Linked DNA regions of Danio rerio. The protein of the gene in region 1 interacts with the protein of each later gene in a biochemical or structural test. Links are inferred from orthologs where the notes say so. Each region holds a gene or a part of one and is shown on either strand. Other genes may lie near its edges.

The links.
Region 2: the proteins of vcpip1 (region 1) and waca form a complex in vitro, tested with the Homo sapiens proteins (2 studies listed by BioGRID). The link is inferred for Danio rerio from reciprocal best matches to the Homo sapiens genes VCPIP1 and WAC.

The regions. Positions count from the first base shown.
Region 1 is NC_133177.1:45,057,717-45,062,051, forward strand, and holds the start of vcpip1 (deubiquitinating protein VCPIP1), read left to right. Parts: upstream 1-1,511; 5' UTR 1,512-1,648; coding exon 1,649-4,238; intron 4,239-4,335. UniProt on the Homo sapiens protein: Deubiquitinating enzyme involved in DNA repair and reassembly of the Golgi apparatus and the endoplasmic reticulum following mitosis. Necessary for VCP-mediated reassembly of Golgi stacks after mitosis.
Region 2 is NC_133187.1:25,085,682-25,089,686, reverse strand, and holds the start of waca (WW domain-containing adapter protein with coiled-coil), read right to left. Parts: upstream 2,835-4,005; 5' UTR 2,646-2,834; coding exon 2,605-2,645; intron 2,427-2,604; coding exon 2,393-2,426; intron 1,601-2,392; coding exon 1,414-1,600; intron 1-1,413.

The sequences.
Region 1 (4,335 bases):
ATAGAAAAAGTTTGGGCACTTCCGATTATCATTACCTAGTAACATTTAAGGCTTGGTTTGTTAGAAACATTTTTAGAAACAAACATCACAAAAAACAATGAGATGTTTAGTTACACACCTCTTTGATTTCCGCCAAGAGCTGAAACTCAGTTCAATCCTCTGTTTACAGGACTCTGAATGCATCTGTTCCTCCACTCCACAAAACAGCCATTTGATCAGATCACGCCGACATCAGACACCATAATAAAGTTAGTGAAATGTGATTTTGCGTTTATTCACTAAAACATAGGTGTTACCTGATGAAAACTAATAATGCCAGCAGAAAATCTGCTGTCCTGATTTCATTAGATAAAATGAATGAACGTGTCATCTGATATTTGGATTTGTTCATGCGATGGAAGTAACGTTAATCGGGGTTTTCTTAAATAAACTGTGTATTTATAATAAGTGCTAATCGCCTCATGATCTGATTTAACTGATCCATGGTTCGGTGTCTCTCTGGAAAAACATAAGCAGCGCCGTTATTCCTCGCTTGCTATTTTCCTGTGTTTCACTTCCTCTCTTCCGGTTTCCGCTTTTCCAGCTGCCGATATATATAACGCTCGGGTAGGCAGAAGCTGGATGAATTGTTCCACTGTGACTTTTTGTAGATCAACTCAAAGGTTTGTTTGTTTTTTTGTTGTTTGCTTAAAATAAATTTCTCTAGTCATCTAGCTCTATATTTAAAGCACTTATGCCTATCAATGTTCAACAATTTCTCCACACAGAAAATATTGTATCATATATTTTTTTATGACACATTTGTGATTAAATAATACATTTAATTGAACTGTTTATTTGTTTGTTTGTTGGTTTGGTTGTTTGTTTATAAATAAACGGATGTGCCCCGAACATTCTCTGCATGCAAAATTATGTTTCATGGTTAAAACATTTTGTGATGGAAATGACAATTTTAAATGACCACTTTCTTATAATTACAGTAAAAAACACAACAAGAAAGAATTTAATTTAAAAATATTAGATTACGTTATAAAAGTCTAGATTATTTTCTATAGCCTATTCATTTTTTAAGTCTTCTTCACCCCCTGAACGTACTTTGTCTGTTACAAATAAAGAGAACACACCATTGTAATATTAATCTAGTTTATTGCATTGATCTAATATTATTCCGTTGATATCCTAAAAATGTCTGCATTTTATTCTCACGCCCATATGAAGTCTGTTAAACTCCATAAACACAACACAACACAACACAACCTTTGGCCTTCTTTGTATTGTGGATATTGTAGTTTTATTAAAGCCACTTTTTCAAAAGAGCCCTCGTTGTATAATCGTCCAAGTGGAGAAACTCAATTTCGTAACTACAGAATAGGGCAGTAATTTTGAATAATATCAAAATACATTTTAATCAGTGGCTTTTTAAAATAATGCCGTTAGAAGGTAGATGACCTGAGACGATTTAGAACTTCAATTCCCAACATGCATTGCGCGACCCATAGGGTCACGCTGTTACAGAACCGCTTCCGTGTTGTGTTTGTTACTGGAAAACAGAAACTGCGTGAGGTGACATAATTTTCTATCGTCCGTCGCCGATTAAACAGCGATGCTTTTGTAAACCGCGGCGTCATAAGAAATCTCAGATTGGACTATGTCGTTGATTCCGGGCTCAAAACAGAAGGATAGGCGCATTTTATGCGGGATGTGCCCGGACCCGCAGTGCCAGGCGAAGCTCATCTTCCCCGCACACACCTCCATGAGCATCGAGTGCACCGAGTGCGGACAGAGACACGAGCAGAAGAATCTCGCCAATGTGGAGGAAGTGACTAACCCTGATGTAGTGCTTCATAATTTGCTGAGAAATGCTTTGCTGGGTGTGCCAGGCCCTCCCAAGAAGGGCTCAGAGCTGGTGAAAGTGATGGGACTGTCCAACTACCACTGCAAGCTACTGTCACCCATCCTCACCCGCTATGGCATGGACAAACAGACAGGCACTGCCAAACTCTTGAAGGAAATGAACCAGGGAGACATCTTTGACTGCTCGCTGCTTGGGGACCGTGCATTTCTCATCGAGCAAGAGCATGTGTCCACTGTTGGGTATGGACGGGACCGGTCAGGGAGCTTGATCTACTTGCATGACACCTTGGAGGAGATCAAGAAAGCGAACGGTAATAGAGAGTGTCTTATTCCTGTGCATGTGGACGGAGATGGACACTGCCTGGTCCACGCCGTGTCCAGGGCGTTAGTTGGACGCGAGCTTTTCTGGCACGCTCTTCGGGAAAACCTTAAACTCCATTTCAAGCAGAACCTCGACCGCTACAAAGCTCTTTTCCAGGACTTCATAGATGCTGCAGAATGGGAAGACATCATCAATGAGTGTGACCCGTTGTTTGTCCCTCCAGAAGGCGTTCCACTGGGCCTGCGTAACATTCACATATTTGGCCTGGCCAATGTACTTCACAGACCTGTAATCCTTTTGGACTCGCTGAGCGGTATGCGAAGCTCCGGGGATTACTCCGCCACTTTCCTACCGGGCCTTATTCCAGAGGAGCAATGCCGAGGGAAAGACGGCACTCTGAACAAGCCCATCTGCATCGCCTGGAGCAGCTCTGGCAGAAATCACTATCTGCCTCTTGTGGGCATCAAGGGCTTGGCTTTGCCCCGTTTGCCTGCTGCACTGCTTCCCAAAGCGTGGGGTGTTCCTCAGGAGCTCATCCGCAAGTATGTGAGTTTGGATCCCAGCGGGAGCTGTGTGATTGGGGGCGACCGGAGCCTCCAGGATAAGTACCTCCTGCGCCTCGTAAGCGCCATGGAGGATGTCTTCATGGACAAGCACAGCATCCATCCCGCTCTAGTAGCCGACGTCCACCAGTACATATACCGACGCACTGGAGTGATCGGCGTACAGCCGGAGGAGGTGACAGAAGCGGCCAAGAAATCCATCCAGGAAGGCCGCCTCCACCGCTGCCTGGTCTGCAACGCTCTTTCAGAGCTCCACGTACCAGCCGAATGGCTCATACCTGGAGGGAAACTCTACAACTTGGCCAAATCAACTCACGGGACGCTCCGTGCAGACAAGAACTACAGTTTCCCATTAAATAGTTTAGTTTGTTCCTACAACCCAGAAAAAGATGTGCTCGTGCCTGATTATAAACTCAGCTCACTCACAACCTGCACCTGGTGTCATGGGACCTCAGTACGCAGAGTTCGGGGTGACGGCTCTGTGGTGTATTTGGACGGGGACCGCACTAACACTCCCTCTCAAGGTGGCAAGTGCGGATGTGGGTTCAAACACTTCTGGGAAGGAAAGGAGTACGACAATCTTCCCGAAGCCTTCCCGATCACTCTGGAGTGGGCTGGCCGTGTAGTCCGAGAAACTGTTTATTGGTTCCAGTACGAAATTGATCCGACTCTCAATAGTAATGTATACGATGTGACCATGCGTCTCGTCACAAAGCACTTCCCTGGTGAATTTGGCAGCGAAATCCTAGTCCAGAAGGTAGTAAACACCATCTTGCATCACACCGCAAAGAAGAGCCAAGATGAATACAACCCAGTTGCCATCGAAGGTGCTCACGTGCAAAATAAAGTAGACGGAGGTGAATCTTCTGCTCACCCTCCGACTAAAATCATCCTGACGGGACAGAAGGGAAAAACTCTGCATAAGGAGGAGCTGGTCATGAGCAAAACCGAGAGGGTGTTGCAGCACAGCATCAGCGAGCAGGCTGCCCTCTCCCAGCGCCGCAGCACAGATCGCGTGCGCCATCAGGACCCTCGCCCATCATCTCCTTCCTCTTCATCATCCTCCGCTCCTCCCACTCCCACCAAAGTACCCCCAACCAGCGGAGAGAAGAAGATCCGTGTAACCACCAGCGACGGGAGGCAGGCCATGCTTACTCTGCAGCCGCACACTACCTACAGTGATCTCCAGAACTCAATCATCCAGGTCTTCAACTTGTCGCCCGGACAGCTGTGCATTCGTCATGGGTTCCCGCCCAGAGAGCTGCCTCCACCACCTCCCGAAGACCAGAACCGGCCCGTGGCGCTTCAGCATGGAGATCGGATTTCTGTGGAGGTGCTGAAGGAGAGCTCGGCTGATCCTCAAGTAACCCAAACACACACTCACAGCCCTCAAACACACGCTCACTCTGACCCACGCCTCAGCCACAGCAGTAGCAGGGAACTTCAGGACAACATTGACCTTGAGATGTCATCACTGTGTCTCCTGGCAGCACTCATGGGTAAGAAACACACACTCACACTCTTCTGTAAGTGATATGCTGTATGAGATTACTGCAAGACTGTAGAGTGTCTTATACTAGAAGTAGCATCTGCAGT
Region 2 (4,005 bases), on another chromosome or scaffold:
ATACCATTACCTGTCTAAAAGAAATATTTCAGGCATGGAGTCATCATTCCAACAGAGTGCAAAAGTAACTCCAATATTGATCTAGGATTTTAAAAAGTTTTGATTATGAGATTGTTTTCAGCACTGTCACTCGTGTCCACTGCCCGTGTAAACGCACGGCACGATCTGCGCGAACGGGTTGGCAGTTGTTCAAATCTACATTTGTTGACAGACAGTTTGGGCTTCTTATCGGAATTATAGGTCCGAAAATATTTAATTGGATGAACTTTTTTTTGTCTTATGGCTTACCCAAGAATATAAAAATACATATAAATACATTTAGATCATTTACTTTAATCATTACTATAGACTTTTAACCAGCACAACAAATTTTTTTTCTGAAGACCATCACCTACTGCTGCTTTAAGAAATCAATGGCTAAATAAACAAATGAATCAAGTGGTAAAATATCATGAAATGTATATGAAGAAACTGATGATCACAGTGAAACTCAACTAAACTTGACTTGCCAGCTTGACATAGCAACATTTGATCGATCAAAATCATGAGTGCCCATATGATACGGAAAGAAATGTGAACTTCATCTGTAGAGCTGCTTAAAGTGTCGCCAACATTTTATTGGTTTATGCAAGAAAAAACTATTTATTAATTTACAAAAAATCTTATTTTGACATCTTGCCAAAACAGAAATTCTGTTTAATGTTCAGCTAATTCAATAAAGTTTCATTCAAGAAACTTTAACAAATGTATTACTATTGTATTGTATAACTTACATTTCAAAGTAATAATAATAAAAACTACGTATTAAAACAAAAGAATAAAATAAATAATAAAAATGAATAACAATTTTTTAACCATTTAATAATAAATCAACCGTCACTTCAAACCAGTTTGGTTCCGAACATTACTTAAAGTATGTTTTATTTTATGCTTGAGCAGTAGAAAACAAGCACAGGTATGCAAAAGACATGATGCTGAGGAAATAGTCTTAATTTTCATTTTTGGTTAAACTATCCAATAGAACTATAAAAAACAGATTTATTCTAGCATAGCTAAAAACATGCTTAATGTTTCCCATATCAATAAACTCATGTGGATCTGGCAAAAAAGCATTAGGAATTCTGCAGGACATTTTCAAGTGATATGAAATTATTACAATTCTATCTCTCACAATTTCTGATTTGAAAGCTAGGCAATCCCTGTGAAATGCATTTAACTTTGTCTCTTTAACCAAACACAGCAACATGACTAACACAAAAGGATGATTTCTGACTAGTTGTGTTTCTATAGAAAAACCTAAGCACTAATTGAGAACGCCATAAGGTTTACAACACAGATCCATGACCAGTATCAGCCTCAGACCTGTGCATCTAATCAAACGATCAATATGACTCCCGGCCTTCCCCTTCTTACCTCCTTCTCGCTCTCTCCCTCTGTGTGGATGGATGGCTTTTGCTCTGCCATGGCCAGTGTTGTCCATGTGTTTATTGTCTGGACTGTCTGATCTCCGCAGCATCTTGCATGGTGGAGTGGCATCATTACTGTCGCGCATCTTCTCATGTCTGTGATCCGGGTGACTCTTGGATGAGTACTTAAGAGTCTGTCAAAACATGACATTTCTGCATTGAACTATGCTGCACAATTACTCTCTCTCAAATGCATTAAGGAGCTGGTTTATAGTGGACATAGCTGATATTACATAGCTGACAAGCCTGTTTACCCTGAGAGGACTATGTTTGATGCTACTCTAAGGTGTTTTTGACTAGCAAACAAACATCTGACATGTTTTAAATTAATAAAACATTTCATAGGACTATATTATGTATATTAATGTTGTCATACCATATCTTTACTTTTTTCAGTTAACTAACGTAACATGGAAAGTCTATAAGGACAATTATGCCATTCTTAACTATATCTTAATCATTTACACGATAACTGCATTCGTTTTATTTGGATATGGTTGCACTAACTAGCTATCAAGACGGCTGTTTATAAACAACCTCTTGGCCTTAAATTATATTTACGACATAAAAGTTTTTCTAAAACATCTTATTATGCCCCATAATATCATGATAATACATTTTATATTACCAATTTTGATGAAACTCGCAGTAAACGCAGGCCTGGTGTAGCCGCTAGCAAGCTAACGTTAGCCTGTTAAAGTCGCTAGCGCCCTGGGCGCATTTAAAATGTGATAAATTCGACGGGCAAGCGATTTACGACAGTGTAAATTCATGTTCACATCCTAAAATATACGTGTTTGTCGTTTTAAGCTGATCTCCGGAAAAATACGACACTTTTTTGCTCTGTTTTACGCACAGAGGCCTGTACTGCTTCAAAAGCCTGGACTAGATTTACCCCATTTTAATCTTATTTGTTTCAGATCTACCTGATAGGGCTGAGAATCCCTTCGGTCGGTGCACCTATGAAATAAAACAAAAAAGAGAGACAAAATTAAAGTCAAAACCCATTTTGACTAACATTGTTAGAAATTGCAACAGCTGAATCGGCTTCCTTAAGTTTCTACTTATTTTGGTTTGGCTAAAAATGGCGGATTGTCAAAGCGGAGAAGGAAAATCGTAGTATAAAACAGCTCTTTACCCATCGCCGAGTCTCGGTTGTTTCCTTGCATACATTACCATCAATGCCGTGTTAGTGTGTGTGAAGTAGATGTGAAAGATGGGCGACTTATTTTGCTTTAGGAGTGGGCTATCGACGACACGATCGCGTATATTATTTCAATAGTTCTGGCTATTGGAGTCGCTCTTCGCCTCTGCTAGTCAGTAGAGCGCCCTCGGTCCATCTCCCACTCACACACACACCAAAACTCTGCCCCTATCTACAGAACAGCGAAGCTCAGCCTTCCTCACACACCTCAATCCGGGTTACTTCGGGGCTCGCTTCGGATACACTCGGCTACTGTCGGGATATTTCGGCCGCAAATACAGTTCTGAAGTAAGTAGCGCATGTGAACACGAAGCATCGGTGAGGATGTTCACTGGGATAAAACAAGTCTAAACCAACTGTGCTTGAATTACTCACAAAGAAGTTTAATTCTCATTCAATTTTAGGTTTGGAAAAGTGTTGACTTTCAGTGCGAGCAATTTTAACCCAATACTGACATCTACTGGACGTGTTGAGTCAGTACTGGAAGATGGATGCAGTGCAGAAAGGCCCTGATGCAGTATGACTCACTAAAACAAGTGAGTCTGGGGAATTCTGGGAAAAGATGCATGATGTGAGCGCACTTTTTAAATGAGACAGCAACAGGAACAATGTCAAAAATATCACAAGTGGAACCGAGTCCTTCCAGGTAATATGAAGTGAGAAAAAACAAGATTGTTATTTGAAACCATTCATTGCAAAATATAGTGTTTTAAATCTAATATAAATTAAGTTGGCTTTAAAACTAATGTTCTAAACGTAAAATATCTGCCAGTAGCAATTAGAGCTGTAGGTTCTCTTGGGTAATGTATATGTGCACATTTAGTCTGGATTTTTGTCTGTTTTTCCATGTAAATTTTGTGCCAGTTCTGCCAAATGAGATGAAGAGTGTGGGTGGATATTTACAGGTCATACAGATTTTCAGTTGCATTCAAACTTGAGTTATTGCAGATTTAAAACCCTGTCAGCTCTTCAAAAAATTGTTTATTCCAAGCTAAAAAATAAGTATTTTAAGTTTGCATATTGTTTTATTAAAACTTGTACTGATAATAGACTTCAATTAATAAACTAAAGAAAGTGCTATTCACCCTTTCAGTATTGTATTTTATAAGTTCACTTGTAGTTGCAGTCCAAACAAAAACACATTGTACTTTAAAAAAATCTTGCTGCCATTTGTTTTGGATGAATCAAATAGCTTTTCTAGTCATCTCAACTTACATCAGTCAAACTGATTTAAAATATTAAGATAAACTTTGTATAACAAAAAAAATAAACAAAACAACAATAAAAAAACATTTTGATGGGACAGTGGCGCAGTGGATCGCCTCACAGTAAAAA